Lytechinus pictus: one gene and its partner. The protein of the gene in region 1 purifies or fractionates together with the protein of each later gene. This does not show direct contact. Links are inferred from orthologs where the notes say so. Each region holds a gene or a part of one and is shown in the gene's direction. Other genes may lie near its edges.

Region 1 (16,910 bases):
GCTAATGACTGGTACTAATAACTAGTTATCCCAAATTTTCATTTTCAACAGTAATCCAATCGGTACCCTATTTTTTCGTACTGGAGTTACTCAAGAAACAGAAATTGTTCTATTCTTCTTCATCAATACAAGATATTTCAACAAATATTAGAATGACTTACCGGCAAGTCTATATTTCTCAGGTTCTGCTAAGGACAGCAACCTCCAGATTTCCGATCTCTTTGGAACCGTCAAACTAGGGATAGGTTCATTCTTGGTCGAGTCTGCTCTCCTGAACCCGTTTCTTCTGACTGACGAGGAGTGAAAAGTTCTCCTGGAAGTACCGACTAGGGCACTCCATCTTGAAGGTCTCAGTGTTGACAAGTAGTACTGCTTTATAGTCCTTGGGAAAATCCTGCAAGTGCAGAAGACCCTTGCTGGTGTGAAAGACGAATGGGGAATCGCTATTGCCTTTCCTGGGAATATCCTTGAGGGAATACATTTATGGCAACAATCAAGGCATTGTTTTGTCCTGTTCATACTATTTGAGATGATGCATTTGCCATAGACGGGTAACCGATGCATAAAGGTGGAAGTGCCCAGGAGATACATTCTTGAGGTAGTTTACCCTTGACTGATGAATGGACTTCCTCTGGTTCTTCCTTCCTGAGACCAGATACCTAGTCATATAAGAGAATTTAGGTAATTTACTGACAAAGTTGTTATTTTTGTGTGATTAGTAATGCCACATTCACACCAGAGAACCAATGCCAGGCAAAAAAAAAAAACATTCTTCTTCATCCGGTTATTTTTCAAACCCCCAAAACACAAGTAGCCTATGGAGAACAGAATTTCTCTACCAAACTGACCTTTGATCTTGGTCATGTGACCTGAAACTCAGGCAGGATCTTCAGTGATACACCATTACCCTTATGCCTAAGTTTCATGAACGAGGTCCATATAGTTTCTAAGTTATAACATTTCAAAAATGTACCTTGGTTAAGATTTCGATATATTGATTCCCCCAACATGGTTTAAGATCATTGACCCTAAATGATCTTTGACCTTAGTTATGTGACCTGAAAATCAGGCAGGATGTTTAGTAATACTTGATCCATCATCAATGAGACCTCAAGGCTAATTCCAGGCAGTGGACACCACGCTAGACTGATAAATCTACTGTTTCTTCAGAGTTTTTCAACTTTTCTGATCTTTTTTCTCCTCCCGGGGAGGCCAGTCAAATGTATTGCTGTAGCTGTACACATGCATGACCAAATTATTTCCAAACACCCCTTAAACAAGTTTTTTCTCTGTGTGCAAAATAACCATGTAAACAAGTTTTTTGCAGGCTTTATCGCCAAAATATGACCTTCGTGAAAAAGCTGGTCGAAAAACATACCCTATACTTGTTTGGCTATTCTTTAAAAAAAAAAGCTTTGGAAAAAAATACATTTGACCCTGTGATTGACCATTGACCATTCTTTAAAAACCACCTTTTTTTGGAAAATCTGTGTTTTTGATACCCTTTCCGAGTGCATGCGCGGCATGCGTCCAAACCTGAAAAAAAATCACCCCTTTCAACGCGTTTTTTAAATCATGCATGTGTACACTGTACAGCAATATATATGACTGCCCCCCCCCCCCCCCGGTTGTCCTCCTCCTACACAGACGGATGATGGCCATTGCGCTCCTAATGGTGGAGCTCCACTAACGCCCAAACTACAGCATCATGGAGAAAAGGGTGGGCGCACCCTCCTCGATTACTCCTAAATTTTGCTTTTTGACGGGGGGAAAAGGAAGAAATAATAAAGATAAATTTATAGTAAATAGGAAAGACTTCGTTATGTCCCCTCCACTAATTTTAAAAAATACTTCTCTAAAACCCCCTTCTATCGTTTTTTTTCTTTTTTTTTGTACTTCCGGTTGGAACTTGGATTCGAACCTCTCGCTGCAGAACGAGGCATCTCCAGTCTGTCGCCTTACTCACTAAGCTAGCAGGAATTTTTCAAAGCCATGGATTTCATAGCGGTTATCAACCGATATTACGACTAGTCTACTCTCCAAGAGTATTGGGTATTTATTTTTCTGACGGAATGAACCGATGCCATTGAGAATTACACACGCTTGAGATTTTGACGGAATAAAGCCATATTTTGGTATGTACAGTATCTACCTCAGGCGATGGTTCGTATCTAGGCTCCACTACACTTTCAGATTCATGTGGATCGAATTACCAAACTCCAAAAAAGTGCAGCCCGTTCGATCCTGAGATGTCACATATATTATATCCCCATCTAAAAAAATGTTTTCAAATCAATTCTACATTGGAAGGCCTTCAAGTACAGAATCATTTATTTTCGATATATATTTGTGATATATCGAATTATATATAATTGTGAATAATATATTTTTTTTGCATTTTGTCAATTTTCAACATCACAGAAGATTGCTACAGGCTCTATCAAAATATAAAATCATTTTAACATAAGAGGGAGTCCTACTCCCTGACCCTAGTTTAGACATAATTGTGCATAACTTAGAACTCCTCAACATGCTTAAGAAATGGAATGACATTGGTAAAATGCTAATAAAGAAATTATGAAGTTTAACTTAAACTTATAAGCATATGCCTAACTAGATCAAGTAATAAGTTTGTAGACCCTATTGAAATTGAGAAAAATCATGATCTAACTTAGATAACTTTGGTGCATCAATGATTATCAAGTCAACTAAGCATGTATTGCCATTGGCTTTTGAAATCAGTTATCACACCATCAATTGGGACCTTTCGCAGTCCTCACGGACGCTAATATTAGGGACCCCTAACACAAAAGTTAACGCTTAATCATACACTTGATTTTTAAGATTGATTGTGCATTATAGTCAATAGAATCAAACGTAGAAAACTGCTCTACGATCAATGCTAAGCTTTGTGTTACAGGGGGGTTACAGGCCCTACAGATTTGCTTTTCGTGTGCAAAATCCTTTTCCGCGACACCCACCATACATGCATGTATATTACGACTGATGGCTGGAGATATTCGAAATGCAGGACCTAAAATAGATTATGACATGGATAAGAAAGTGGTTTTTCAAACAAATTGAGTACATATTGAGTGAGGAAAAACTTACTGAATGAAGGCTTAGATATAGATCATTACAGTCCATCGAATCGATATTACATTTGATGTGGATTATTGGTGGATCACTGGCAATTGATTTCATGGGTCAGATCAACCTCTCCAGCCGAAAATTCCGCGCGCGTTGATATGCGCACAGCATATGCAATACGTTTGAACTCGTTTCTTTTGTTTCTTTGTTTCTTTTGTTTCTTTTGTTTACTCCTTCTACACAAACGATATGCCTCTCGCACACGATGTAATGGGCATTATGTTTTTCTTTCCCCAGAAATGGGGGATTAGATTCAAATTCCGGGGGGACCACTTCCATTGATGAGTGGATACCAGGCACGACCATGAGGTTTCGAAAAGTACCCTAAACAAGGGAAGCAATTCTTTTCCAGATTATGAAAATGCATCTCTTAACAAGTATTTGGCTTGTGAAACCCTACAAGTATATATATATCCCTTTTTTTCAGCATTTTAAACATCGTTTTGACACCCTTATTACGTTACATAGGCCTATAAGTAACGTACCTGCCCACTCTGTCCCCTTTAACGCGTGTTCGCTCCTGGTATCCACTAATCAATGGAAGTGGGCCCCCCGGGCGGCCTCTCGAGCTCTAGGAGGAGTCAAATGTTGCTTTGGAAAGTCGTCCTCAATCGGATATATCGCTGTTACCATAGTAGCAACCAGAATTTTGCACACGAAACGCATATTGAATGTTTCCGTCGCAGATGCGAAACGAAAAAAATAATCTCATGTCACACAATTTGCATTGCAGGACAGAGTTTTACGACCATGATGACGGGCCCAAAAAGTCTCTTCCAAAATCAACTACCGTCGTAAATAAGCGTGCGCGTCCTCAAACGAAAGGTCGGGAATATCAACAGAGTAGAGGTCTACGCATACATGTATGCTACGTTAGGCCTTTAAATTCTAAAAGTTTCTTTGAAAACTACAAAAAATTGATTTTAATTTCAAACCATTTCAAATGACTAGACCTAGTGGAAGAAATCGTCGGTCCATAAAACCCAACCCGTCCGGACATGCAACAACCAGTGGTAGGATGGGGGCACTTATCCAATAATACAAGGCCATGATATGTAACCTTGTCCTCAATTAGTAACCCCTGCGTGGTGAAATTAAAAGAAAAAGATTTTAAACGTTTGGGTTATTTTCTCTTGATCTAGACTGGATAAATACTTGATATTTTGGCAGTCAGTTTTTACTACAGTAAATTCATCATAAAAAAATATGCCTTGGCCCAAAACTAAATGATATTTTTTTTTCTAATTAAAAAGCGAGTCTGTGAAGATGAAGATCTGCATCAATCTCTAATACCACCAATAGAGGGTCTCACAAAAATATGCTCAAATGAAAGGTTTTGAGCGCTCTGGTGAAAAAAATTATTTCTAAGTCTAGAATGAAAACAAATCATAACTGAATGGATCTGAGATTTTTTTATAATCACAAAAGTTTTTGAATGTGCATTGTATGTTGCATAGGCTCACCACAGACAGGGTGGTTGAAGAGTGCAAGTGGATGGGGTGTTTCCACTCTTCCCGAAATTAAGGAAATTTCGACTTTCCAGGAAAGGTTTTGGAAATGAAAATATTCCAGGAACTTCAGGGAAATCCAAAAATTACAATCACTGGCAGATCCCCCCCCCCCTTTTTGAGAAGCAAAATTGAAATTTGTCATGTAAAAATACTGTTAAAACAGAAGTGTGCCCCCCCCCCCTTTGAAAAAGAAGACATTTTTTTTTTGCTGGTCCAATTTTTCCTTGGATAAATCATAATGTGCATGCCTCCCCTTTTGGAAAATCCTGGATCCGCCCCTGATTACAATTAAACGACAATTAACCGTAACAACTTTTAAATATTCATTGTAGTATTTAAAGATGATCCGGCCATCCTAAAGAGGAGAAAGAATTTGGAACTGAATACAGAGTCATAATGACTTCGTTCAGTATGGTTGGAACTACCCCTTATCGACCACCTAATTTTCTAAGAATCGTATCTGCGAAAATACTTATCAGTTTTAACCTAGTTTTCGTCTCATTTGTGCAGAAAATTGAGCAGATCAGATTCCCACATTTCAGCCGATTCTTGTTGTGGTGGCGAAATATTTTGACTCTTCCAAATCAGTTCTATGATGACAACATGCTAAATGATCATCTCACTACTTCCACTGCGAGCTCCGGCACATGATTCGACAATTGGAGACAGATATTTCTTCTAAAGCCGTTTCCTATCGGATTTCTTGGTATGAACAACTGTTTTTTTGGCAGGGTTCGGGTCTAGTAAAAACAATTTTTATAAATTCTACTAAATTTTTACCTTTTACCCCTTCTTTTTCTCTCGTAAAATTGATTCTTACCGTTCCAATGGGCACTGCGCCTATCTCCCGCGCGTATCGTTTGTAATATATGCAATAATTTTAATGCGTGCAAGGTGGTCGATATGTGGTGGTCCCACTATATATTCCCTAAGTATCCTAAGAACAGTGACAGTCAGTGAAGTAGTAAGATTTAGATCCAACATAAGATCTACCTCCGGCTCCAGACGTAGGCTCCGTCGTCGTAGCTCAAAATTTTCTGCTCGCGCTCTGCGCTCCCATTTCATAATTTTGTTCCTATTTTTAAAGATGGCATGAACAAAAAAATGTTAAATTTCTTGATTATGGTCACTTCTTCTTGGACCAAATTTAGGCTCATTGTATGGCAGTGTGTCCAAACTTCGCGCGTGTCCATACTTCGCGGACGGTCATTATCTAAAAAACTAGCCAATATCCTTTAAATCTGACGTAATCAACGTGAAAAGCGACCTAAAATTACCCTTTGGTGTAAGTTTCTTTAGGATGAGTTCAGTATTCATGAAAATATTGGCAAAAGATCGGCAAATTTGTCACCGTTAGCACTTGTTTTGAAGAAATCTGATATTTTCAACAAGCATCACGATATCACCATTTTGCAAGCAGAAATCATCAAAAATGTGAGTTAAATGTGGTACTAACCGATTCTATAGCATTTTGCCATCGATCTGATATAAATATTTCACTTTTTGAGCTTGAGTTTTTGTTTAAATGTCCACAAAAACTTTGGTCCGCGAAGTTAGGTCACACTTTTTCTGAACGGTTTTCCAGCACAGCGCGCATTCGCCGATCGGAATAGAATTTTGAGATCGCGATACCGGCAAATCCCCTTGACCTACTTTACATTTTCGTCCATGATTTTATAGTTTACGATCTTGCCGTCAATGTGGTTACTATTTCTTGAATTGGTTTTGTATAAATTAGGAATATTTTGTGAAAATATTTAAGCCTGATGAATATTTTTGAAAAGTGCCCGAAGTTTGGACACCCCATCATATTCCCTGATTTTCGTTAAAAATCAAAATTGAAAATTCCAGGAAATGTCTATTAATTTCGGGAAATTAAGGATTCATTTTCAGGAAATTTGTTTTGGATCTGTGGAAACACCCATTGGGGGTTGGTGTCCGAACACAGAAGAATTGCTTGAGGCTTGAGACTTTGACTTGAGACAGTCCTGGGCCTGGCTCACTCACACTAATTATGTTTATCTCACTTCTCAATATGACTCTTATTTATGAGACAATAAGTCTAAGTTTCACTCTAATCTAAGCCAAAAATATAGGTTGAATAGTGCTTATCACCATGATCACCATCATTATTTGTTCTTTATTAACATTTTCTTACATTCTGTGCTAATAAAATCAAATAAATTGCTTGTAAACTTTTCATAACTAAAAGTAAAAGTCATGTGTCCTAAGACTGAGTCCTGACACACAACCACCGGGGTATATCAACCACCGGACCGGGGTATATCGGGCTACTGAGCCAGCGCGCGCCGCAATGCCGGCTACGGTTGCCAGTCCCATACTGTATTTTCACTGTCATGTTTACGGATCGAAATTCATTTTGGAACTATAATTAAGAATTAGTAAAAAAGCATGTTGAAATTAAAAATTATTGCAAATCAATCATACCGAAATGAACCACATAAAATTGTCTTTAGAAACAATCAGTTTTTTTAATAATAACAATTGTAATTACCTGAAATTTGCTGTCGAAAAATTTCCCCACAAACTTCGGCCTTCGGAGCCGGAGGTAAGGCAAATGACGGAGACTTCCGGTGTCGCATCCACCGCACCGTCGAACAAGATAGAAGGCTTCAGTCCCATATATTGCCGAAAAAGAGTGAGATTTTTATCACAAGAACTTCCAGATTAGTTTAGCTTGACCATGGATGAAGATCACGATCAGAGAGTGTGCAATGTTCCCTTCAATATTTTTGGAAGGGGTGGAACTGGGAGTGGAAATCGTAGCGTCAACGATGTCGATGAGGAAAATGAAAGGTAATCTGGCCGGGCTGGGTGGCGGATCCTGTGCAACCTCCTCTCGGCTCGAGCGCCGTTGTCTGTCGCGATCGCCCGGCGGCCCGGCTGCATCAGTGCGCGGTCGCGGCCGCTAACTAGCCAGGATCGAGGCTCCTAGTCCTAGAGAGTAAAAATCATTTACTAACGTGGTAGGATGGGGGGTCGGGTGTCCGGACACTTTATATTTTTGAAGCCTTCTTTTTTGTATTTGGATTACACTAAAAATATAAATTCAATACTTGTAATCATCTTCTATTTTGTTCTTTATAATATTTCCTAACATATAATTTATGAAACTTCGCTTGTAAATTTTTCCAATTCCAAATGACTTTCTAAAATTGATCGTCCGGACACACAACCTGTCCGGACACACAACAACTGGGTATATGCTTTACTCTCCACGGAGCCAGGGATTTGATTGCGTCCCCATTCATGCGCGTGTACCGCGAAAAAAAACTGAAACTTTCATCCCCGAGATTTCTACTTTCCTTCTAAAAAAGCTCTAGCCCAGCTAAATCATGTATGGGATACAACTTAATTTCCGACATTTCTACGATATTGATTTCATTTTTAAACAAGAATTCATTAAAAAAACAAGAAAAAATATTGTGAAAAGATGGGGAAAACTTGCCAGTTGCCACCATGTTTACGTTGCCATCTTGATTTCTTTGTCTTTCGCCATGCAAGGCCAAGGCTACATGCCTACAGCACGCATATGGCGAAAGACAAAGAAATCAAGATGGCGACGTAAACATGGTGGCAAGTTTTCCCTGTCTTTTCATATTTTTTAATGAATTCTTGTATGAGAATGAAATCAATAGCGTAGAAATGTCGGAAATGAAGTTGTATCCCATTTGATTTAGGGCTAGATCTTTTGGAAGGAAAGTAGAATCTCGGGGGCGAAAGTTTCATTTTTTTTGCGGTACATGCACATGAATGGGACGCAATTCCTGGCTCCGTGGAGAGTAAGCATAGGTTGGTAAAGGATTTTTACTCTCTAGGAGCCTCCTGGCTACGCGTAACCAACGAAGAATAGCGGGGGTGAACTTTGAATTGAAGGGGAAGTTCACCAACACAAAAAGTTAATTGTATAAATAACAGAATTTTTTTAATCGGACATTTTCTCCACTAAAACTAAGGTTTGAGGATAATCCATCGGTTATGATCAGTCTCAATTTCTCACAAAGTCAAACTCAAAGCAAAAACTAAAACATTGTCAGTGACACTGACAGTGTGGCCTGTGGTTGAACTTGAACTTCACCTCGTCTATGATAACTGTCGGTTGTAGTACTGATTTTTCACTTCATTATTTTGAATAAAAGTTTGCACTTACACCCTGTACATTGATTCCTTACCCCATCATCTTGAATAGGTAACCTGTCAATTTGTGATTCCAATTTTAAATTTATTAAGTTAGATCTACATAATATGAAAGAAGTCGGAATCCAGCCTGCGCAACACTTGTGAGAACATAAATTTGATGTTCAAACTCTAAAATTATGAAAAGTTAGGTTACATTTCCATGTTATATAAGACTGGGACTAGATCCTCATAAAAAGAAAAGGAAAGCAATATTGATTTACATAATTAATAATCTGATGATTAAGATGAAAATTGTCATGCATGTTTGAAATTAATTCTTGTCTACTAATTTTTATTGCTTTTAAGACTAAGCTATTTATTTCTTCTTTCACTGTTTTTTTTTCTTTCTGAATGTAGCTCTGAAGATGAGTTAGATATCATCCTGAATGGGACTCCAGAACAGAAACGTCGTTTGACGAGGAGCTTGAGCCGAGGCAGCCTTCAGATGTCCTCCAGTGAAGATGATTTTGAGAAAGAGATGGAGATGGAGCTGGATGCAACCATGAAAAACCATGAGAATCAATTCAGGGTTAATGGTGAGTTAATGTATAAGGGAAAGAGAAAATCCCGGTGGTGGCACTACCTATTGGAAGGTGTAAAGCATGATCATTCCCCAAGTCGAAAAATTCTCCCTTTTCGCATGGTTTCAAGTACATTTGGAGCAATTTTTATTTTATTTTTATTTTTGGGTGAATATGTACCTCAAAAGAAACAGGGGATGAAGAACTAAAATTTTCTACCAGCAGACAATCTGTGTCCAAATTACCACCATTCTGCTTAGCTCCAATGCTAAGGAAACTAAGAAGTAAAAACTTGGATTGAATATGGTTATTAATATTTTGAGATGGGCCCTGTCAGGCTGATAATTGATCAGTGTGACTTGCAACTTTGTGACCTTAAGGAGTTTGATTTAAGTTCTAAAAAATGGCTCATTAATTATTCATAATGCGAAAGACACTTATGAATAATCACAATAGTAGAAGACAGGGCTTGAATGAATAGCAGTAAGTTGGTGTCTAATTATGAAATATTTAGTTTGAAACTGCGTTAATCATACGTATTCAGCCCTTTTTTTTGGGGGGGTAGAAGCAACCAAAAAATTACACGGGGGCGGCGGGCGAATTCGCCCCGGAAAGTCCAAAAAGAGCCCCGGAAAAGGGCTAAAAACATTCACACGAGGGCGACTGCAAAACTCATAATCGCCCCCGTCAACTAGGCTTGGGAACCAGCGCCGGGTAATCGAGTCTACCCGATTCTCAATGCCAGAGTCGGGGAGTCGACCCTGATCTCTGGAGACTCGAGTACCAAGCGGCGGCGGTTCTGAGATAAAGGGACTCGAGTCTTTGCCATGCTCTCTCATTCATGGACGAAAATCGGCCCCAGCGCCGACTCCAAGCACTGAGATAAAATAAATGTAGAATTTGGAGCCGAGGAGTCATACACTTCGAGCAGAACGTTTCTCTGCTTGTGTGCTTTAGGCTCAGTGTGACTGCATGTGGTATGGGGATGCATCGTGTGCATTGTGTGTAGTGTGTATTTCTGTGTGTGTGACTGTAAAATGCCAGTAGAGACCACGTGCGCATGTGTTGAGCGACACTTGTGATTGTATCATGAACTGGGATTTGTGTGTGGATTGTGTGAGAAGTTTGAAGGTGTAAGATTTTGGGCGACTTGATAGATGATTGCTCCCCCCCCCTCCCATTTATGTACACTCTCTAGCCCCATGTCGAGCTGCAGCCACCCATCTTGATCCTTCCCCCCAAAGCTTGTCTCTCCTCATTCCTTCTTTTCTTCCAAACTTTATTTCCCTATTATTCTTGTTAATTTCTTCTTTTACAAGTTGTAATTCACTACGAACTTCATTATAATTTTAATGAAGTGTTTATCACCTCTTGTTTGTTTTTAAATATTTTTATATCTCTGTTCAAAACAAGAGTCTCGTCTATCCCTTTAAAAAAAATCACGCTTTGATTTTTTTTTCTTTCATTCAAAAATCCCATTGATAACGTTTGCTTGCTAGTCTTAAATGGGAGTCTTGCCTTATTGGAATATTGGCAAGAAGTTAATAAAAAAAATGATGTTATTGTTCTGTCAGTAATAAAAGTAGAGATTCAACTATGGATATTTTTCAGTCATATTTCATTTAATCTTCGTTATTTTAATCCAAACATTCATTTTTTTTTCAATGATGTATTTCACCTTTGGCCAGTTCGCCATTTTCTTAAGTGACTGAAAACGTAGACTAGCCCCTTAATTCAGGGACATCAACCCTCGGCAATTTGTTTACATAACTTTCTTTGTCTCCGTCATGTATTGCACAATCTTGAGAAGCACATGTTTGGAAATCTGATATTCTTGTGGTGGTGGGGGGGGGGGGTACGAGATTGCCGCCCTTTTCATTCTGTTTTGGTTTGGCTGCCACATGGCCTCTCTCACTGTGTGGAGAAATTAGGTCAGGTAAAATTTGCAAAGACGTGGATAAGTTCATTTCAATTAGAGGCCGTGCAAGGCTAGGCATTCATGATGGATGATGGAAATTGCCAGTTTTGGTTCTGGTAGGCCTTTTTGTCATGAATCTGTGTAACTGATACGAACGCTTAACAATTCAATGACCTTTATGACTTGTATCATTATTTTGTATGAATAATTTTAAGTCTTTTTTTTAAAGTGTCATTTAAATAACTTTCAGTCAAATATGTACGAAGGATATTTGTTCAACTTCATAACATTTGCAGGTACCTATATTGTATGATAAAATAAATTACCTCAGAATTGTACAAATTCAGAACTTTCTTTTTCTTTTACATTGTCTTTAGACACGAATACAGATCTTTCTAGATTAATTTAGCAAATGGGCTATAACACTAAATAGTAAACACGCAAAGCTCACGTCAACCAAGTATCAAACATTCAAACTTGGATTAATTCATGGAGGTTCTACCTCCATGATCTAATCTGAATAGGTCTGTATTAGGTCCATGAATCAACTCAGATATCGTTCAAGCATCAAAATCAATCTATCATCACAACACTAAAATCATAAACAATCACTTCGAAGAAACAATGCGAAGGTCAAACCAGGGAAGTGTTATACTTCCCTGGTATATGCTAGCTACCGTGTATATATATACACACACACACATACACACACACACAAACGCAAAAAAGCCGCGAAATAGCTCCAGAAATTGTAGCCCTGGAAAGTGGAAAAAGAGCCCTGGAAAATGAAAAAGTAGCCCTGGAAAATTTTTAAGTTTCTCCAAAAAGAGCCCTGGAAAGAAAAAAAGTAATTTTTTGGTTGGGTAGAAGTATGGGCTAAATATATCTTTGAAAATGTGTCCCCAATTTTTAGTTGAGGTTAGTTATGCTGCCCATGGATGTATCAACATTGTGTTATTTTTAGCTCCTTCATCATTGTTTTATGATGACATGTGCAGTAGTTCCAAGGGTTATGTGGGATAACCATCATCTGTGTCTTCCTTATAATACTCTTATCATTTCTGGCAGTGGAGAAAAAGCTTTCTGCAGCAGCCAGATCCATTGCACAACAGAGGCAGTCAGCAGCACCATCAAGTGGACACCCTGGAGGACCTACTCAACAGCAGTGCTATGATGAAGTCTACTTTGACTCTGATGAAGAGGAAGAAGAGAAAAAGGAAAACTCTGCAGAGGGTGCGAAAGCAGGTGGTGGGGATGAAGACAAGGAGCAAGGTATGCCTATCCTTACAATCACAGCTTGCAGGTGTTATGGTGGTCGAATTAACCAATTGGCCCGTATTCTGAAGTCCGGTTTAACTTGGACCACGGTCTAACTCTGTGCTAAAATTATGGGAAGCCAAAAGTTCAAAAATTCTGTTTATATTGTATATTTCTTATGTTTACTATTTTGTTTCCTTTTGCTTTGATAATGAAGAAAAATACTTCAGCTATCATTCCCAGACAACTATGAACAATTTGGGTATCATATGAGTTGATATATAGAATGTGTATTGTTAGGGATTTGTGCTCCAATTGGCTCTCCGTAGTTAAACCACAACTTTAAACCAGGATTTAATTTAAACCCGAGTTTAGAATACAGGCCATTTGGTCTAATTGCTGTTTGGTCTACAATATACTTGGTCTCATACCCACTTTGTCTAATTCCCATTTATTCTAATATCCAGATGGTCTGGTCTATTTTTCAACGTTGGCTACCAATTATTTTGCATTTTGTCTAATGGAAATTTGATTCATATACAGTTCATCTAATTATAGACTAATTGGTGTTTGGCCAAGTTGATATTAAACAAAATTGATATATGTAGCCTAAATGTATTAAATTAGGCAAAATTGTAAATTGGCTTGATGGTAATAAGACCAAATGGTTAGTAGATAATTTGTTTGTAGATTAACAAGGATTAGACCATGTGGGATGAGACCAAATGAAAAGTAAAGACAAAGCAAGTGTATACTAATTGGCAATTTACCCATGAAATGGTTACAATATAGAAAATTAAGTTTAGACACTTTCAGACAGCAATCAGACCATATTTTATAGTAAATCTAATAGGATATGTTGAAAATGATTTATATTGTGCATATTTTTACCACATAACAACCCTGGATAGAGAGGGGCAAATACAGATTGATGTCTTGCCAAATGACGGTTGGCAGAGTATGAGTATGAAATAGGATGCATGTAGAAATAAAATTGAACTCGTAATGACACCCAAGGGTTAACTCTTAGACTAATAAAATATTTCAGTTCACATTTCCTATGGAGTGCTAGGATTCATCTTCTTTATTGAAAATCAGTGAAAAAGATAATGAACCAAAAAATTCATTGTGATTTCTTGCAGCCTGATGAATACCAGCTATTATATCCCTACTAAAGAAAATTTCATTTTGAAGTAATTCTCCCTGAAACAGCTTTCAACCATTTGACTTAACCACTTGCCTTCTTCCACTTTTCTTTGAATATCTTTACCATTTCCTAGCCAAAAAGCAACACCGCATTCCAACCAATGATGATCTCCTTTATGACCCCAACATTGATGATGACAACCAAACCTGGATGAACAAACAAAGAGCACAGTACTACCCTAAGAGGGCACCAAAGCGATCACATGACCTGGCCTCTTCAGAAAGTCCCTCAGGGACTGGCGCTTCTGCCCAGTCAATCCGGGCTCCCAAACCCGATCAGGCCGAAGGTGCAAAGAGTCAAGAGTCCATCCCCAAGACAGATGCCATCTTGAACTGTCCTGCTTGTATGACAACACTCTGCATCGACTGTCAAAGGCACGAACTCTACACCAACCAGTACAGGGCCATGTTCGTCATGAACTGCTGCATTGTCCGGAGCGAACAACTGAGGTATCCTGAATCCAAGAATAAGAAGAAGTGGAGGAAGAAGAGGCGGCATGAGGGGGGAGAAGTGGACGAGGAGGATGGAGGTGCATCCACTGGGGATGAACTCTTCCACCCTGTCAAGTGTGCGATCTGCAACACAGAAGTGGCCGTCCTGGACAAACAGGAGATCTATCACTTTTTCAATGTATTGTCAAGTGCTGCTTGAGGACGTAATCTTTGACTCTGGAGGACCCTACTTTTGGATTTCAGACATTTCCCAGTCCATGATTACAGATGTTCACTTATCTATTCTGACAGATGAACAGCAAGCATTAAACTTTTTTATGTACCCATTGAAAATCAGAGGATCACAGTTTCATGAATCCGTATCATATTTTTGAAGAATCTTGATTTTACCAGTGCATATAAAAAAGTGAAATCCAATATTCGAGGGCTCATTTTCAGAGATTATCAAATATAATATTTTAACTTTTTGAAAAAGTGACTGTTCAGCTTTTAGTTTGTTATGATACCCTGCCTGTACCTCTTGCACTAATCATGACTCTACTAATTAATACTGAATTAATGTTAGGTACAAATTCTATTTTTTTCCAAATTTCGGCATGTACATGCACTGTCCAATCCTGTCTAATGCATGTACTCTACTGAGTATTCAAATATAAATTCTAATGGCCCGTATTCTGAAGTCGGGTTTAACTTAGACCATGGTCTAACTCTGTGCTAGAATCATGGGAAACGTTTCAAATGTTGTTTACAGTGAATGCTTCTCATGTTTACTGTGCTCTTTACTACTTATTTAATGGTGAAGACAATTGTCATACTTATCCTTCCCAGGCAGTTAATAATGTTTTGGGAGTCAAATGAGCTGATTCATTGAACCTCTACCGTTAGAGATTTATGTAACAACTGGCTTTCCATAGTTAAACCACAACTTTAAACCAGGGTTTAATTTAAGCCTGAGTTCAAAATAAGGGCCAGTGAGCATAATTTGTGAAATGTGACTAGCAACCTGGATTGCCAAGCATTCTTTGCAATTTTTTTTTCAACTGTTTTTCTGGTTATTTTACAGTTTGAGTACAGGAGTTTTATCAAAATGACATTATTTATAGTATATTTTCACTTGTTCTACTTCTCATATGGTCTAATATCACAGGGGCTCAACCCATTTGGTGTGCTACGAACTCGATCTACACAACACTTGGTCTAATACCCCCGTCCTATTGTCATTTAGTCTATGCCCAGTCTGTCGAATTTCCATTTCCTTGGTGCTTGTGAATTTTTACTACGTCAAATGAAAATTTGGTTCATAACGGTACATCTAAATGAAGGGTTGTAGAACCATCACAGATGATGAATTGGCTACATAGCTATTACCAATAGACCAAATGGTTAGTGGAGCGTTGTGGCCCAGTGGATTAGTCTCCGGACTTTGAAACAGAGGGTCGTGGATTCAAATCCCAGCCATGGCATAGTTTCGTTCAGCAAGAAATTAATCCACATTGTGCTGCACTCAACCCAGGTGAGGTGAATGGGTACCTGGCAGGAATTTATTCCTTGAAATGCCGAGCGCGTAAAAGCTGCTTGAGCTACAGCCTGGGTAATAATATCCAAGTCCTTTGGAAGCGCATAGAGACGTTATTAATAATGTGTTGTGCGCTATACAAGAACTTACTATTATTAGTAGTAGACAAACTGGTTGGAGACGAATGATTAGACGATGTAGGATGATACAAAACAGAATGTCGACGAAGCTGGTATAGACCAATTTGCAATTTACCATCTTAATTTGTATTTTTGCAGTGTACTCACACTATTGTCGTAGGGAGAATACAGGGCAGATGAATCCCATTGCTCCTTATGGGCAATGGTGGAAATTAAAGGCTAGAACGAAAGGTAATCAAGCTGTAGCAAGACCATAGAACACCCAGCTCAGTTGTACAAGAAGGCATAACTGGAAATTTACTGCAAACTATGAAGAAAAGTTAAATTCAATTGTAATGAATAATTGTATGTCATCTATGGAAAACTATGTTTAAAAAGTGATATCCAGTTTTAAGTACAGTAATTAATCCTGAATTAATCCTGATAACAATATTTTTGATAATCCATTTTTAGACACAGGACAATTGCAGAGCACTGACTCGATCGAAATAAATACAAATGTCTCAAATTGAGCTCTAAATTTATTTGAATGATTATTGTTAAATCATTAACATTCTATGGCCATACTAAAAATGTTGGTAATGTCAACAAAGATATCTCCAGACGTCTCCGAGATAAAGAAGTACATTGTGCATGCGCGATTGATCAGACATAATTTTATATTCATGAATTCTAATTGATGGGAATAAATATCAAAAAGTTAAGTAATTTTCTCTGCTTTGTCATGTAAAATTGTATTCTATGGTGATATTACGATCGTGTGAAGAGTTTCTGCAATGACCAAGTTTGAAAATCAATCCCGACATGATATACTTTTTTAGACAAGTGCACCCATCACTCGTTACGGAATTTGTGATGTCCGTCATTAACAAGTGGAGTGCTCTGGCAGTCTCACCTGCATCACACGATTCAATATAGCAGCAGTGCTGACTTTGAAAACTATTATAAAATAATTATTCAAAAAACACCATTCATATAATGATACAATATTATGTTCATTGACAATAAATGTCATTTGACCCAAGACTTGTCAGTGAT
Region 2 (16,910 bases), on another chromosome or scaffold:
GTGCATCAAAGAATCCCACAAGCCACCAGACCCAATTGTAAAATATTAGAGAATAGATAGTGAAAGGAATAAACTAAAATCAGTTAACTGACTGTTTATTTTTTTACAGATGTTATATCCCCTTATTATGTGCTGTTGTAGTGTACTGTTTTGTTTCATTTTGTCACGTTTCTTTTCCTTTTGGCTTATAAGGATATTGGCGTGTTTTGTTTGATTTACTATTGGAAAGCACTGAAGATTTGGTTTTAATGAATACCTGTGTACACAGAATAAATAAACTTTAGGGATTTCCTACATTGTCTTGCCCCCTGAAGGTGTTTTTACGAACCAAAATATAATATCAATAAAAGTACTAAAATTAGTTATAAACCTGCCTCTCTCACTATATTAGTGTGGTTTGGCATGCAAGATCAAATTTCAAACAAAAAATATGGACCCCTTGTGAAATTCAAATATCCATGCTATCAGACACTTTTTAGAGAGACTTACGTATTATGGTTCAGCAGCATTCCAAACGCATCTGCACTTGTATTCTTCTGTTTGTGATGCATTTCATCTGGATGTGCCTCTCTGCACCCGTGAGAGTTGAAACCCTGAGGGGATGATAATAGGGGAAAAATATATTTTATTTGGATGTCTTCTTGCTATGCATGTAGGCATGGAAATGGTTCACATGCATGTGCCTGTACTTAACTTCGAAAACCTTGAAGAGAATTGGGACATTGCTGATTGCATATTGGTCATGATTTGACTTTTGCAAATTAGAAAAGAAAAAAAAAAATATTTTTGTTTTACTTTACATTTCCCCTCTGCCTAAGACACTTTCTTCTTCGAGTTCTTTACATACATGTACTTTTCATTTTCCTGTTTCGTTCTTTTCTCCTTCATCTTCTTTTTGTCATGTATCTTCTTCTTTTCCTCCTCCTTCTTTCCTCTTATCCTCATTCTTTCCTCCCTCTTCTCTAGTTACCCTTCTTCCTCATCTACTATTATTATAATAGTGCTACTTTATAATCTTCTCCATCTTGCTCTTGTCATCATTCTGATTCTTCTATATTTTCCTGTTTCTTTCCAAAGTTAAATTTTTATTATTTATGTTGCTTATTGTCGTTTTGATGATTTTCACTTATGTCACTACAATAATAACCACTTTTATTTTCTGGTTTTTTTTTAATATTATTATTTCAGAACGAGCAACCAGGCATGCACTATGCCGATTTAGACCTTACATCGGGCGCTGGTCATTCAGATAGAGTGGTTCCTAAAAACGAGGACGGCGTTGTCGTCTATTCATCCATCCTGGTGTGATCAAGATTTCTAGAAACTCTGTATATAATCATCGAGTGGTACTAAAACATATATCCTCCATTGTCATTGATCTAACGTCATGTGAAGAGCTGGAATGATTTCATCCTAGAAGTCTCAACATCAGTCGAGACTTGCCGGAGACCTTAACCATACTTGAAATGACCAACGCCGGAACAGATTAAGGCATTTGGGAAGCAACAAAAAATTAAACAACGGCCTACCAAATCCGACTGGAAACACCAGTATTTATTCCAGCCATAACAAATTAGAATTTCTTGAAGTTCTAGCTTTGAGGAGGTCGCCGCCTGTCTACTGAAACCAATAAAAATAAATTCCATCTCCAATTTGCTGTTTTTGAGATTCAAGAATATCAAGACTTCCTGAGAAGTAACTTGATTTGATCGGGAAATCTGACCTGAGAGAGGTGTTTCACAAAGATTTTTTAAGTTTTACTAAAAGTCGCACTTAAATTTGCAGTTGCGTGCGGTATCAATCTCATCACCGCACCATGCTCAGGTATCGTGTGCTACTGCATATCAAACAATGACTTCAAGGCCCAGTCTTGCAAAGAGTGACGATTGATCCAATCAATCTCAACTTTATGGATATCCATCCATACCATAATTTTTCTGCAGGAAATTTGCAGTCTCCTTGGTAAACAAAGAACATCGCACTGAATCTTCAAGAGAATGATGAAAGTACGTATGATTACACATCATATCTAGAAAATATTCTGAACAAATTTGCATTTTAGATGTAGACATTGGTGGCCATCCATAGTTGTGGTTGATCGGATCAATCGCAACTCTTTGTTAGATGGGGCCCAGGTCAAACGTAGCTCTTAGTGAAATAGTCTCTCAGGATTCCAATCTTTCTACTTAATGCATGATGGAGCAGGGAGGAAAGGAACTGTCAAATTCCATCACATAATTTTGTTGTCAACAAAGTTTGACTTTTTTTCTCAACTATTTACATGTACCTACTTTCGATTTTATCCGTTTTCACAGTGTTCTAATGGTGTCGTCGGACTCCAAGAGTGACCAACATCTGTAATGTAATATATAGTTATTCGGAGTTATGCTGTATAGGCTTATTCAAGGTTAATGATTTTAGCTGCGAGCATGATGTGTGGAAAATTGAACATATGGATAAGGTATCATAGAGCTGATTTAAGTTGCGTTTGCTCTGAATTTCACCAGATATTTTATGTAATGTGATTTGATTCAGCACTTTGAAAAATGCACTGCGATTTAAAAAGGCAAGTATTTATTATGTAAACGTGCTTTCATGTTATAACCACTATTCGAGCATCATATTGGCAATTTATGTAGAACAATGTTAATGACAGACTGCTAAATGTAAATAAGTTGATGTTTTTGCACAATTTCCAAAGCGCAATTTTTTCCTATGAAGGGGGATTTATTCAAATTTTGCTGCCTGTTTCAAATTTCTTGCTTGCATTAAGAGGTATTTATGTGATTTATAAATAAGCTCACCTGATAATTTTTTTTTTTGGTAAATTTGTTCATGTTTGCGAATGCTGGCCATTCTAACCTTTTGTTAACTCTTTCTTGGGGGCAAACTTTTGAGCATTTTAATCAAATCTGCACTCTCAAAAGCCACTAAGCCCTTATCACAACAAACAAACTTGTTCTCACAGATTCTAGAATTCTATGAGAAATTTGCTGTCAGCCAATTAACTGATACCATTTCAGGAGCTTATAACAATAGCTTGTCTGTTACAATCGATAACAAGTTCTGTGCAACAAGACCCACTACATTATTACAATTCTGCAAAATAGTTCTTTAGTCATGTTTATGTTATTAAAGTTTTTGATTTCTGACTTGTGCAGTTATTACATAATATGAACCGAATTCTCCAACAACAGCATAGCATTCATTTATTACAGAGAGCTATAACAATTAAAGCACAAGTTGCGATCTAATCCAAGCTATTTTAGTGTTTTATTGAATTAGATCTTAATTGCATATAAGAGCCAACAGCATATCAATACTTGTCTAGCAATTTCATTGAAAATTTGTGTTGCATCTTGCGTTGGGGGTAGTCGGGCCGTCTGCTTGCATTCTACCCAGTAATTTGTACAGTATGCTTTGTATAATCCGAAACTGCCACAGAATTATTCATATTTCTAAGGAAAAAATAAAAGGAAAATGCATATTAACTGCTTTTGTAGAACAAGAAGAAGAAAAGAAAACTTCTGTTTTAGAATGATTTTCAGAGCAAAAATGAATGTGATGTATATTTGTGTTTGCAAAATTTCCTCACAGCGCATAAAAGATTACAGAAATAAAGTCCAATAATCAATAAAAGAATTTGAAGATTTCTACCAGGTAGGGAGATGGTGATTGGTCACAAATGGTTTGAAATAAATTACTTAATGTCGTCTTGAAATATTTGCTGTGCCTTACAAATAATGTGTTTTGTGTTTTAAGGGTTATTACATTCCATTTGAAGTGACATTTACACTTAAACATTGAAAAGCGCCATCTTATGTTGGGATTCAGGAAGAGTGTGCACTGATGTTGACCCATAATGCAACATTATACCCTGTTCTAAATTATTATACATTGCCTAGCAATTTTCAAAGTGAAAAAATAACAAGATTATCTCAACCCATCGGCAATCAGTACCAATTTTTTTAAGGGCTATAGAAATTGTGCAGAATAAATGAAAATAAAGGGGGGAAAGGGAAATATGAAATGCTTATAATTAATAGTGATCACTAAAATTATTGAATATATTGACAACATTTTGAAAACTGCAAATTCGATAATTTTCAATTTATTCTGATGCAAAAACTTTAGATGTTAAAAAAATCACAAATGTAAGGAAATACTGTTGCCAATTTAAAGATTAAAAACATAATTGAATAACACTTCAAAAAGTTCATTGACCCCGACATACACATATAAAAAAAGTTCATTGACCCTGATGGATCAACACAAGTGCACTCTCCATCCAATTCTCGCATTAAGAGCCGTTATTCAGTGTGTTGAGTGAAGATCCATTTGAATAGAAATTCTGTAAAAATTCTGCCAAAGACGATAATGTGCCCATCTTCAACGTGATATGGCATTGATGATGAAATAAAATGAAATCAAAAGGAGAAGTTGACAATCATGATCAACTCTTATCATCGGATTGCTTTCAAATTTTCTACTATTTTTTTTGCATGAAACTGCAGCAAACTAATCTGCTTTGAGTAATCGTTCTTTTTTCTGCTCCCTCAGCTTCTAGCGTCTTGTAGAAAAAATATTGAAAAAGATTGTTAAAAAAAAGGTTAGCTTGTTTATTGTACAGTATCAATCAGAAAGTACTTTAGCCAGTTGACTTATGTAATTTTTCTTTTTGATTGCATTTATCATGTTTAAGATTGTACATTTTTGGATATCCATTTATATTTGTGAATATTGTAATTAACATTGAAGATGTATTAACTGTGTAAGTTGTATCCATTTCGTCTATAAATATTGTTATCTATTCCTTGTTTTTTGATACTGTAGAATGTATGGTTGAAGCAGTTACTTCGGCCAACCAAATGGGTGCAAAATGCCATATGTAAATATTTTTTTCTTCTTAAAATTGGTAAGAAAAGATTGCTTTTCCATGCTGATTATTTTCTTTTACGAAACAGCATTGTGAAGATGTTATATTTTTCAGGAATTGTATTGAAACTGAAGTGGAGTTTGTTTTCACGTTTTGAACTTACAAACAATTTTTGTTGGAAACTCGCTGTAAGTTTAGACCAAGGTCAGAGTTAGAATTTCTCAATGTGATATTGAGAGGCATGTCTAGATGCGTGAAGTTATTTGTAGATGGATTTTCAGATAGTTTCCTTGGTTTATAATAAAAATGTTAACTCTTCAACAAAATTACACATTTAACTCATCTTACATTTTAGGACCTTGGAGTTATATTTATATGTTTGTTAAAGGGAAATAATCTTCCTTATAATCAGACATAGAATTTTCAAATTTTTTATCTTGTTGTTATCTAGATTTCGTATTAAATCTAGATGATGTTTATTATATATTATTATTCTAGTTGTTACCTACTAATGTACTTATCTAATAATCAATATTTTCTGTAAAAATTCTGTTACTCCTCACAAATGTCTTAGTGCGCACCTTTTATAGAGACAGAGATTTTCCGTTTTACCGGTAAATAAAACAGAAATTCTGTAAATAAAACAGAAATTCTGTTTGATTCTTATACTTTTCATGTAAAAATTAATGGAATTCACCTTAGCAAAACGGAATTCACGTTTTTGCTGTGTACATTTTCAGCGACAAAACAAAATTTCCATTTTTAGATCAAGTTGAAACGGAAAATACAATTTTTTTTTAAACGGAAAATCACTGTCTCTACTTTTATTAAACTTGAGTGGCATACTGCTTGAGCTGAAAGAATGCAGTTTCCGAGAAAATCATTGTTTTCAATTTATTTTCAAGTTATTAAAGTCAGTGATCTATTATTGCTATGGCGACTTTCATGGAATATGATTGCACAGATTATGAACGGAGACCTTCTCAAGTACCTTTTTATTCATAATTAGCTTTTAAATAAGAATATCAAACTTTTGTTGCTATGTTTCTACTAGTCTACTCAGAATGTATTTTGAAAGAGCATGTTTGTTTTGCAACCATTTATTGCATCCATATTTTTTGCAAAGTAAGAAATATCTAAAAGGTTTCAGGACTTTCAGAGAATAAATGTAATAGCAGTTGCCTATCAATTATTTCACTTATAAAGCAATTTGTTAATCTTTGAATGGTGCCCAATTACTTCTTGGTGATGATTGAATCTATTCCTGACATGATTTGAACTGTAGAAGTGATGATGCACCCATCTTTTATTTAAAATGGTTCACAATGTTTTGTTTTTGTAGATATAAGGTATGATTTCAATAAAGTGATAATGTACATTAATGAACAAATTATATTTATATGCTTGTTCTGTATACCATATGTAGTTGTGAGTTGATAAAATTTTGTCTTGACATTGCTAATTCATTCTCTCTCTCTTTCTCTCCCTCTTTTCCCCCTTCTCCCTCTTTATTCACTGTCTGTTCTCAGCTATTTCTGTTTCTTTCTTTCTCTCTCTTTCTCTTTGCTACCTTTTCCTTTGATCTACCTGTCAATTTTATTCTTTAAATGAATAGATACATGTACTTGCAGCTTTTACCATAAAAACCCATTCAGATCTAGTGTGGAAATCATCATCAAGGAAAAAAAAAGATGTTATAATAATAACATACCGACAAATGATATGCATGAGCAGTAATACCAATATTACACATATTGTAATTGAAAGGCATCCCTTTAGTGGGTGTAATGGTCTACACCGGGGGTCTTTAAAATGTACACTTCTTTGGTATAAATTAGTCAATCGCCGTTCTTTGCTCGGCCGCACAACTGCTTTCCACCCTGAGTCTGGATGGGTCCATAGAATCTTGCTCATTGTACATGAAAGTGTATGTGGTTTCTCAAATACTAAAAAAATTCAGCAATTGCACCATTGTGGGGGGGGGGAGAATGGCCCCTAAAAAGTAATAATCCTAACCTTGCAGGCATGTTATGAGTTAGCTGTATAAAGAAGTAGAATAATTCAGGAAACTTCCTGTTTAATACTGTTCTTAATATTTTGGACATTGAGTTCAGTGTGTATTGTATGAAATTCCATGTGTACTCATTCATTTTAGTGGAATCAAATATGACTTGGAATGGATTCCAAGATGAATATATTCTGAGTTGAAGTACTCAGACTTGAGAAATTGATTGACTCAATATCAGAATAGTGTGACATAAACTGTAATTTAGTCAACCCTAAAAAAAAAAAATTCTACTTTTAATGAGTAGACTGCCATCTGTTGCCATTCAATGTTACATGTACCTCGGATTCTGCAGAACAGGGAGGTTGTAGCTTCAAAGAATGAAATTTCCTCGTGAAAGGTGCTTTTCCAAAACTATCAAGCTTGGATGATGTAAAGCACGCAATGTGACATGCCCCTCTTGGGTCAGATTGCACAAGCTACTATTATTTGAACATTAATTGTACGTATCACATCTATAAATTTATCCACATTGTGCTGCACTCCACCCAGGTGAGGTAAATGGGTACTTGGCAGGAATTTATTCCTTGAAATGCCACCGTTCTGTAATAGGCTGTGGGGCTATAGCCAGGGTAATAATATCCAATTAAGCGCATAGGGACGCATTTGGCAGTGATATGCGCTATATATTAAGCATGCTGGTAATATTATTATTATCTTTAATAATAAGTGTCATTAAGTATCAAAGAATGATTTTTTGCTAAGATGCTCATGGCCGTAAGCAGAATTTTTTGGCTTTTTCAATGAAATAAACTTAATTCGAGAGAGCAAAGCGACTGAGCTTGTCATTGGGGCGCCTCTGCATTCTGTTAAATGAAATAGAAGGATTTGTGCATACATGTACTTTTGGTGAATTTTCAGTTAAAAAATGAAAGTTTGCCCCCCCCCCCCCCCCCCCCCGCTGCGTATGGCCATGAGGTGCTTGAAGTTTGATAATTATGGATGGTGTACAGAACGCAATGTGACATTCCCCTAGCTTATGGGGTCTATCAAATTGTACATTATTTTATTTGTGCATTTCTTGTACATATTTGATTGTATAGCAAACATTTGGATACCAGGCATGTATCCAGCATCAGATCCTACAAAGCATTTCATGGGCCCAATTGTCTGGGGACAATAGTGACTCTATTATGCTTGTGCATGGGCCCATACATTTCTTGGTCATTGCTGATGCTGGATACGCTAACTATATATATATATCATTGCATATAAGAAGATAAGAGAAGACTAAGTTTAAAGACTAAGTCATGTCCATTGCTCTTGCAAAAACCATTAATTGTATTTTGTTTTTAAGTTGAACAATATTGATATCCCCTCTATTTCTCTTTCCCTTTTTGTTAGTACCTTTCTTTAATATTTCTTCCTCGCTCAAGTTTTTTTATTTTTATTGTAGTTCAATCAGTGATAAGTCTTGCGATTGATTGCAAAATTGTAGTTTATTAGTGGTTTGTTTCTTGTAACTGCAAGTATCTTCTTCTTAGCTTTTGTTAAAAGTTAAATCATTGATTGCAAATTTACAGTGGAATTAATTTGAGTACAAAATATGTCAACACTCCCCCAAATAAAATTATTGTTTTGGGGGAGAATATGACCCATGTGAGCTGTTATCAAAAGAATATAACAAAAATGTACTTCAGAAGTCATAGGCAGTTTCTTAAATGATGGAAGTCAAATTAATATTGAATGAATTTTAATACAAGGCACCAAACATGAAGAGACATATGGGTCACATTAGAATTTAGAGGTGATGTTTTTTAGAAACACTGAGATCTTTGCAGAACATTAATGCAGTCGGCATGCACACATTTCATTTTTGTAGAAAAAAAGGAGCTAACAGAATGAGAAAGTAAGCATGGTAATGAAATTGATTTCATACATAGTTCTCAGTGGTATATCTTCAGGACTCGATATTTACTCTGGTCTGTAAGTTTTTATTCTCATCTTTATGTAATTCAAATTTCAAGTTGTTTTAGAACTGCTAATTATTGCTGATCATTTCACTGTTCATATTTGGAATAAAGTGTTCTAAGCCAATAAAATGTTTTAAGTGTGTCACCTATTTTGTTGTTTGTGTAAGATATAAAGAAATAAGGATATGAAGATATGATAATGAAGATGATGAAGCTAATAATGGTGATAGATCATAGTGGTGGTGGTGATGATGATGATGATGGCGGTGATGGTCACAGTGGTCGACGGTGGTAAAAATGATGGTGATGATGCTGCTGTGGTGGTGAATAATGATGAGGATGAGGAGGAGGAAGAAGATGGTGATGGTGATGAGGAAGAGAAGGATGATGATGATGGTGATGGTCACAGTGGTCGACGGTGGTGAAAATGATGGTGATGATGCTGCTGTGGTGGTGAATAATGATGAGGATGAGGAAGAGAAGGATGATGATGATGATGATGGTCACAGTGGTCGACGGTGGTGAAAATGATGGTGATGATGCTGCTGTGGTGGTGAATAATAATGATGAGGAGGAAAATGATGGTGATGGTGGTGATGATGATGATGATGATGAGGAGGAGGAGGAAGAAGAAGATGGTGATGGTGGTGGTGATGATGATGATCATCATCATCATCATCATCATGAACATGATGATGATGATGGTTACCTACTGTGAATGGATATGATGAGGAAAACATGATATAAACATGAAAATATGATGGGGCAGAGTATCATAAAGGCCTAATCCATTCAGTTGTAGGGTGATGCCAATATAATTGTATTTATTCCCAAAAGTTAAAAATAAATATATGTTTGAAAATAATCAGCATTATATTCCTTAACAAATTTCCAGTAGATAACAAAAAGAAGAAATAAAAAAGATATACTGGTTGTGGAGGAGTGGTGATGACTATATAGGCCCTATGTTATTTTTATCATTACCATGTTTTCTTGAAAGAAAACAAAACACAAACTAAAAAAAAATTGTTCTTGAAGAGATAGCTATACGCTTTGATATCCATTTCCCTTCCATCAAACCATCGATGTCTTCCCAATTATTAAAACTTACATTTATAACAACAATGATAAATATAAAGACCCCCAAAAACATTCTAACGTTCGGCAATACAAAAGAAAAACTAACGTTAGCCAACGTCAAACTCAATGTTAACCTTTGTCGACTTCTGCTCTAGCGCCAACTACCGTTTGGCAAGTTAAGAACCGAACCGCGCAACCGGCTACTGTATATAATTTCACATCATTTGGCAGACGATTTTTTTTTTCAGATCCTTATCACTATATTACACTGGTAAGTAATTAAAAGCGTTTGGTTTTACAATAATTAGGAATTGTAATGAATAGGCATTGTCTAAATATATTTTCATGATCTGTGACTTGTCTCAATACATAGAGCCGTAAAAGTAAGAACTATTTTATGCTGAGATAAGTCGTAGTCCCATTTGTACACTTCTGTGTTTGTTGCAGACGGAGACCTGGTTTAGCTTTGCCTTTGCCTTGGCTTTGGCCCACTCACACGTATTGCGAGGTTAGTATTAGTATACTAACCTCGCACCACGAACCGCGTTTGGCAGTGGATTTCTAACTTGTGGGTCGCACGTGCTGGGATCTCACTTCTTGGGTCCACAACACACGACTTCTATGGCTTGAATTTTCTGTGCGCGGCGGCATGTAATGAACCCTTGGGTGGCTTTGGCCAAGTATTGTTAACGTTAACTTAGACCAAAAGCTTCGGTCTCTGTTATGTTGGTTGTTACGCTGAACTACGTTGGCTCCACTCACCAAATACATATGTGTATGAGGAGAAATTAAAAAAATCAAAAAATGTTGAAAAACTCCGCGAAACAGACGGCTGCCAGCTGTCTAACGTTAACTGTACTACTGTAGTGTTAGAGAATGAGTAACGTTAAGGAGTTCGATGGCGGCAGATCTGAGCCCAAGATCGTTGACCCAATAAAACTCGTGGGGCTAAAATGGTCTTAATTTTCATGTAATTATTTTGAATAAGATGAAAATTTGCAGGCATTTGAAGCTGGACTGAAACTTGAAAGAAATGTTGAAGACAGAAATGAGTGTGTGGCGCGCCATGGCATGGTCATGGGCGGAAATCCCAGGGGGGACAGGGGGGACGTGTCCCCCCTACTCAAAATAGTAGGGGGGACACAATATCAAATGTCCCCCCTAATGTTGTAAATCGGATCAAAAATCAGATCGAAAATCGGATCGGCAGTTAAGCTTCTAAAATCGAAATCGAATCGAAAATCGAATCGGCGATGTTTAAAAACAAAGGAATACATCAAAATGTTGTTCGCGGTCGCGCGCATCTTCCTGACAAAGTCACAAAGACGAATGCATTATTGGAATGGAAGTCGCCAACATGCGCGATCGTTTGGAACGTGTTTTAAAGCCAGGGGTTTTGAGGTGTTATTGCTTTAAAATAAACCGAGTGATTTTTATTAGAAAGATAAACGAAAGACGCATCTTCCGAGCAAAGGCGCAAAGGAAAATAAAATGAAAATATTTCTCATAGATCACAGGTTAATGAACGATCGGCGGGACATCTTTTAGAAGTATTTTTAGGTGCTAGCGATTTAGAATTATTGGAATGATCTCTTACGACGCATCATCTTAAAGTCGCAAGTGCAATTAAAATGTAGTAGAAGACGCAAGCACGCACGATGATTTGAAATATGTTATTTAAATGTTTTGGGTAGCTAGCGTTTTCAAATCAATTTGAAGTTCACGGCGGGGTCCGCTATCACCACGAGGTTGAAGAGAAGATGTCTATCATCATAAAGGGGATAAGAGAGTAGCGCAGTGAGCTCCGTCGGTAATACAACCTTTCAAAGTTCACGGCGGCATCCGCTATCACCACTAGATTGAAAATAAAATGTATATCATCATAAACGATGTAAGAGAGTAACGCAATAAGCTCCGTCAATAGTACAGTCTTTAAAAGTTTATGGCGGGGTCCGCTATCACCACGAGGTTGAAGAGAAGATTTATATCATTATAAACGATGTAAGAGAGTAACGCAATGAGCTCCGTCAATAGTACGACCTTTCAAAGTTCACGGCGGCATCCGCTATCACCACGAGGTTGAAAATAAAATGTAAATCATCATAAACGATGTAAGAGAGTACTTAACGCAATGAGCTCCGTCAATAGTACGACCTTTCAAAGTTCACGGCGGCATCCGCTATCACCACGAGGTTGAAAATAAAATGTATATCATCATAAACGATGTAAGAGAGTAACGCAGTGAGCTCCGTCGGTAATACGATCTTTAAAAGTTCACGGCGGGGTCCGCTATCACCACGAGGTTGAAAATAAAATGTATATCATCATAAACGATGTAAGAGAGTAACGCAATGAGCTCCGTCAATAGTACGACCTTTAAAAGTTCACGGCGGGGTCCGCTATCACCACGAGGTTGAAAATAAAATGTATATCATCATAAACGATGTAAGAGAGTAACGCAATGAGCTCCGTCAATAGTACGACCTTTCAAAGTTCACGGCGGCATCCGCTATCACCACGAGGTTGAAAATAAAATGTAAATCATCATAAACGATGTAAGAGAGTAACGCAATGAGCTCCGTCAATAGTACGACCTTTCAAAGTTCACGGCGGCATCCGCTATCACCACGAGGTTGAAAATAAAATGTATATCATCATAAACGATGTAAGAGAGTAGCGCAGTGAGCTCCGTCGGTAGCACGATCTTTCAAAGTTCACGGCGGCATCCGCTATCACCACGAGGTTGAAAATAAAATGTATATCATCATAAACGATGTAAGAGAGTAACGCAATAAGCTCCGTCAGTAGCACGATCTTTCAAAGTTCACGGCGGGGTCCGCTATCACCACGAGGTTGAAAATAAAATGTAAATCATCATAAACGATGTAAGAGAGTAACGCAATGAGCTCCGTCAGTAGTACGACCTTTCAAAGTTCACGGCGGCATCCGCTATCACCACGAGGTTGAAAATAAAATGTATATCATCATAAACGATGTAAGAGAGTAACTCAATAAGCTCCGTCAATAGTACAGTCTTTAAAAGTTTATGGCGGTGTCCGCTATCACCACGAGGTTGAAAATAAAATGTATATCATCATAAACGATGTAAGAGAGTAACGCAGTAAGCTCCGTCAGTAGCACGATCTTTAAAAGTTCACGGCGGGGTCCGCTATCACCACGAGGTTGAAAATAAAATGTAAATCATCATAAACGATGTAAGAGAGTAACGCAATGAGCTCCGTCAATAGTACGACCTTTCAAAGTTCACGGCGGCATCCGCTATCACCACGAGGTTGAAAATAAAATGTATATCATCATAAACGATGTAAGAGAGTAACGCAGTGAGCTCCGTCGGTAATACGACCTTTCAAAGTTCACGGCGGCATCAGCTATCACCATCTTTCCTCTTAAACATCGCCATAGATAATACCGCGTCTTTCTCCCTGAATAATGCGACCTCTAAATAGCTAGCACCTCAAAAACAATCTTGAAATATGTTCTGAGCGATCACGCACTGTAACCAGATCTACGCCGATTTTTTTTTTTCGATTTTTTCCTTCAAGGGGCATGATCGAAGATCGGCAAGTGATTGCCGATTGTGGTGAAATCGAATGGAATCGGTTGCCGATTGCAAAATCGGTTACAAGCTTAGTCCCCCCTACTATTTTATGATGGTAAGAATACATCATTCTAAATCGAAATAAAACATGTATTTTGGGACGAGATGACCATACTTTTGGGATGATAACCTTTTTTTTGCTTGTCAAATTTTCCCGCCCCTTGTCCCCATAGGCGGATCCAGGGGGGCCGAGCCCCCCCCCCCCCTATTGGCGGAGCAAAAAAAGAAAAAAAAGGAAAGAAAGAAGGAAAAAGGAAAAAAAGGAGGGAAAAGAGAAGATAAAAAGAAGAGAAGGACGACGAGTGCATAAAATAAAATGAGGGGAAGACTTGGAAAATAAAAAGAATCTTTCGTGCCACTATATAAAATTTTCGCTCGCGCTTCGCGCTCGCATTGCCTGTTAGGTGATTTACATATCTTGTTCAATATGGAGCTCAAATATCAAGTTTGGAAGTCAATATACAAAACATATTTCACCTCAGAAATCGAACTTTCATTATTTTGTGTGATTTACAAATTGATTTTTAAAAAGTGCTCTGTAAAAATGTCAGTTTTATGGTCTGAATAATTTTATCAACATTTGCTGCTTGCGCTGCGTGCTCGCAAATTTTGATTTATCAGGTACCTATTATTTTCGTGTATTCTATAAAGTTGTCAAAATATCCCTTTTCAGGTCAGTCTGATTGTCAAGACGTATCAGCTAGCGCTGCAAGCTGGCATTTTGATTGGCGAGTTATGTATGTTTCAATATTGATTATACAACAAACTACTTAAAATCCCCTTTTTATGACAGTTTATCAAAAATTTTAGCTCGCGATTTGCGCTCGCATTAATGGTTAAAAATATATTAACTGATGCAGCCTATTCATAATTACAAAGTGAAATTTCCAGTTTTTATGCCATAATATCATCAGATTTCGCGCCCTCATTGGGCATTAATAAATATGATATTAATTTAATAATTAAATTGTCCCTTTTGTTTCATCTCGCGCTTAAGGATGTCCCGGTCCTATGTCAAAACTCAAAGTGATAATAATGAAAATTTTTGCTCTTTTAGTGCGATCCATATCCACCTTACAATTTTCCTACAAAGTGCTTGAAATATAAAAGTGTAATTGACTCTTTTTCAGCTCGGAATATCAAAGTTTCATGATTTTCATGATTAAAGATGTATTTAGAAATGCCTAGATTCTAGGTCTAAATATGGAACACGCGCGCGCATGTTTATTCAAATACTCAATTTGTTCTCAATTTAAATCATTATCCAGTTTCAGATCACAATATCAAAAATTTTCTGCTCGCGCTTTGTGCTCGCATTATTAATGTAGGAAGACCCCCTATTACTCATCCTTTTCATGGTTTACAAAACATTGATTTTGATTTATTTATTTTATTTAAACACGGTAAAAAGCCCTCGATCAGCCTATGGCTGTTTACAAAACATGAACAGAGTGGCCCATTTTTAGGTCTAAATCTCGATTTTTTTTCTGCTCGCGCTTCGCGCTCGCATCAATTGTTGAATAATATAGCTATCCTGTTCACGATTACAAAAATTGATTAAAATTTAAGAAATTTTTCAGCTCGCGCTTCGCGCTCGCATTTTTTAATTGTTGAAATATGTAACGCCTTCATGGCTAAGTGCAAGCAGTCCTTACCAGGTACCTTTTCAACAGGTACCAGTTCAAAACGTATATAAAAATTTTCTGCTCGCGCTTTGCGCTCACATTATTAATACTCATCCTTTTCATGATTTACAAAACATGACTAGAGTGTCTCGTTCAGTAAATATTATAGGACTAAATCTCGAAATTTTCCGCTCGCGCTTCGCGCCCGCATCAATTGTCTACGTATAAACCTGTTCTGCCTGAGTTACAAAAAGTGCTTAGAATTTCCATTCTTTAGGTGAAAATGTCCAAAAAAAATCAGCTCGCGCTTCGCGCTCGCATTATTTAATTGTTAAATGCTAACTGCACGCAGTCTTTAACAGGTATCTTTTCCATCAGTTCATTTCTGCTCGCGCTTTGCGTTCGTAGTAATTATTAAGTTGCATACACATTTTTTTCAGGATAACAAACATTACCCAGAATGTTCAAATTTTAGGAAAAAACACATACAATTTCCAAAAAATTAGCTCGCGCTTCGCGCTCGCATCACATAAATAAGGATTATGATATTATATATGAATTTATAAGAATAAAGCTAAGAAGTGACTAATGAGGACTACCCCTTCAAAGAAATAAACACAAATCATCTTCGAGCTGCCGATCGGGGAAAATATGGCTGAAACGAATTTCCGCCCCCCCCCCCCCCTATTGGCGAAGGCTGGATCCGCCCCTGTGTCCCCCCTACCTTTTGGGAGAGATTTCCGCCCCTGGGCATGGTGCAGTGGGTGTGGTCAAAATGAATGAGCATAGGCGAATGATCGTAGGCGTATGATCCTTTTTTAATTTTAGGTAGACTTCTAACGTTAGACAGGACAGATCATGAAATGAAGTTAACTTTTTAATTATGTCAAAGTCAAGATTTGTTATTGTGCATGTGTTTTGTGTGTACTGTAATTAATAAATAATTACAGATTAGTGGTTGCAGACTGCAATTGATGCAAGTGATGCTATAATGTTAGGAACACTCAAGGTTTTATTATATGCTGCCGCACACAGAAAAATCAAGGCATAGTCATACTAGAATTTGTGTGTTGTGGATGCCAGAAGTGGTGTTGCAGCACGTGCGATCCACTAGCTAGAAATCCACTGCCAAACGCTGTTCTTGGTGCGAGGTAATAGTGTACTAATACTTGTACTAACCTTGCACTCGTGTGAATGGGTTAGGAAAAGAATCGAATTTAGTACCATATTAGTTATCATTTTATTCTAGATAGATCTAATGTTAGCTAGATTGTTTTAACTAATTACGTTTGCTAAAGTTATGTAATACCATGAATGTAATGTCTCTTTAAAAAGCCATTCATGCTCATGTTACGTCTAGCATTACTTAGTTATGGTCGCAAATATGAATCATCTGTTCATATTTCACCATAAAATAAATTAGAAATCACATTCTTTAGTTTATTTCCATGGATTACATTGAGAATGATTTTCAATTAGAGCATACATGCATACATTGTACCAGTCACAATTCTTGGACGCACTATTACCTTTTTTTTTTTTTTTTTTTTTTAATATATTAACATATATACAAGTTAATATACAAACACAGCACGCTTACAGAATTGCCAACACCTTAAGCTACTGTAACATTCAAAACATATTGGACAATACATGGCATGACTGAAAATTAGTTATAGGGCTTGAGCATACATGTACCTGTTGCAGAAATCTGAATGGACATTTGTATCTC

The links.
Region 2: the proteins of E2F-associated phosphoprotein-like (region 1) and protein AAR2 homolog purify together in Homo sapiens (affinity purification with mass spectrometry; 4 studies listed by BioGRID and IntAct, counting the BioPlex papers as one, with this or other methods). This does not show direct contact. The link is inferred for Lytechinus pictus from reciprocal best matches to the Homo sapiens genes EAPP and AAR2.

The regions. Positions count from the first base shown.
Region 1 is NC_087251.1:39,827,998-39,844,907, reverse strand, and holds E2F-associated phosphoprotein-like, read left to right. Parts: upstream 1-6,883; 5' UTR 6,884-7,365; coding exon 7,366-7,478; exon of another isoform or gene 7,479-7,670; intron 7,671-9,218; coding exon 9,219-9,397; intron 9,398-12,368; coding exon 12,369-12,572; intron 12,573-13,837; coding exon 13,838-14,415; 3' UTR 14,416-16,576; downstream 16,577-16,910. Other genes in the region: ATP-binding cassette sub-family B member 10, mitochondrial-like, read right to left, coding at 162-591. UniProt on the Homo sapiens protein: May play an important role in the fine-tuning of both major E2F1 activities, the regulation of the cell-cycle and the induction of apoptosis. Promotes S-phase entry, and inhibits p14(ARP) expression.
Region 2 is NC_087252.1:7,311,989-7,328,898, forward strand, and holds the start of protein AAR2 homolog, read left to right. Parts: upstream 1-10,096; 5' UTR 10,097-10,205; intron 10,206-16,910. Other genes in the region: uncharacterized protein LOC129267299, read left to right, coding at 1,189-1,308. UniProt on the Homo sapiens protein: Component of the U5 snRNP complex that is required for spliceosome assembly and for pre-mRNA splicing.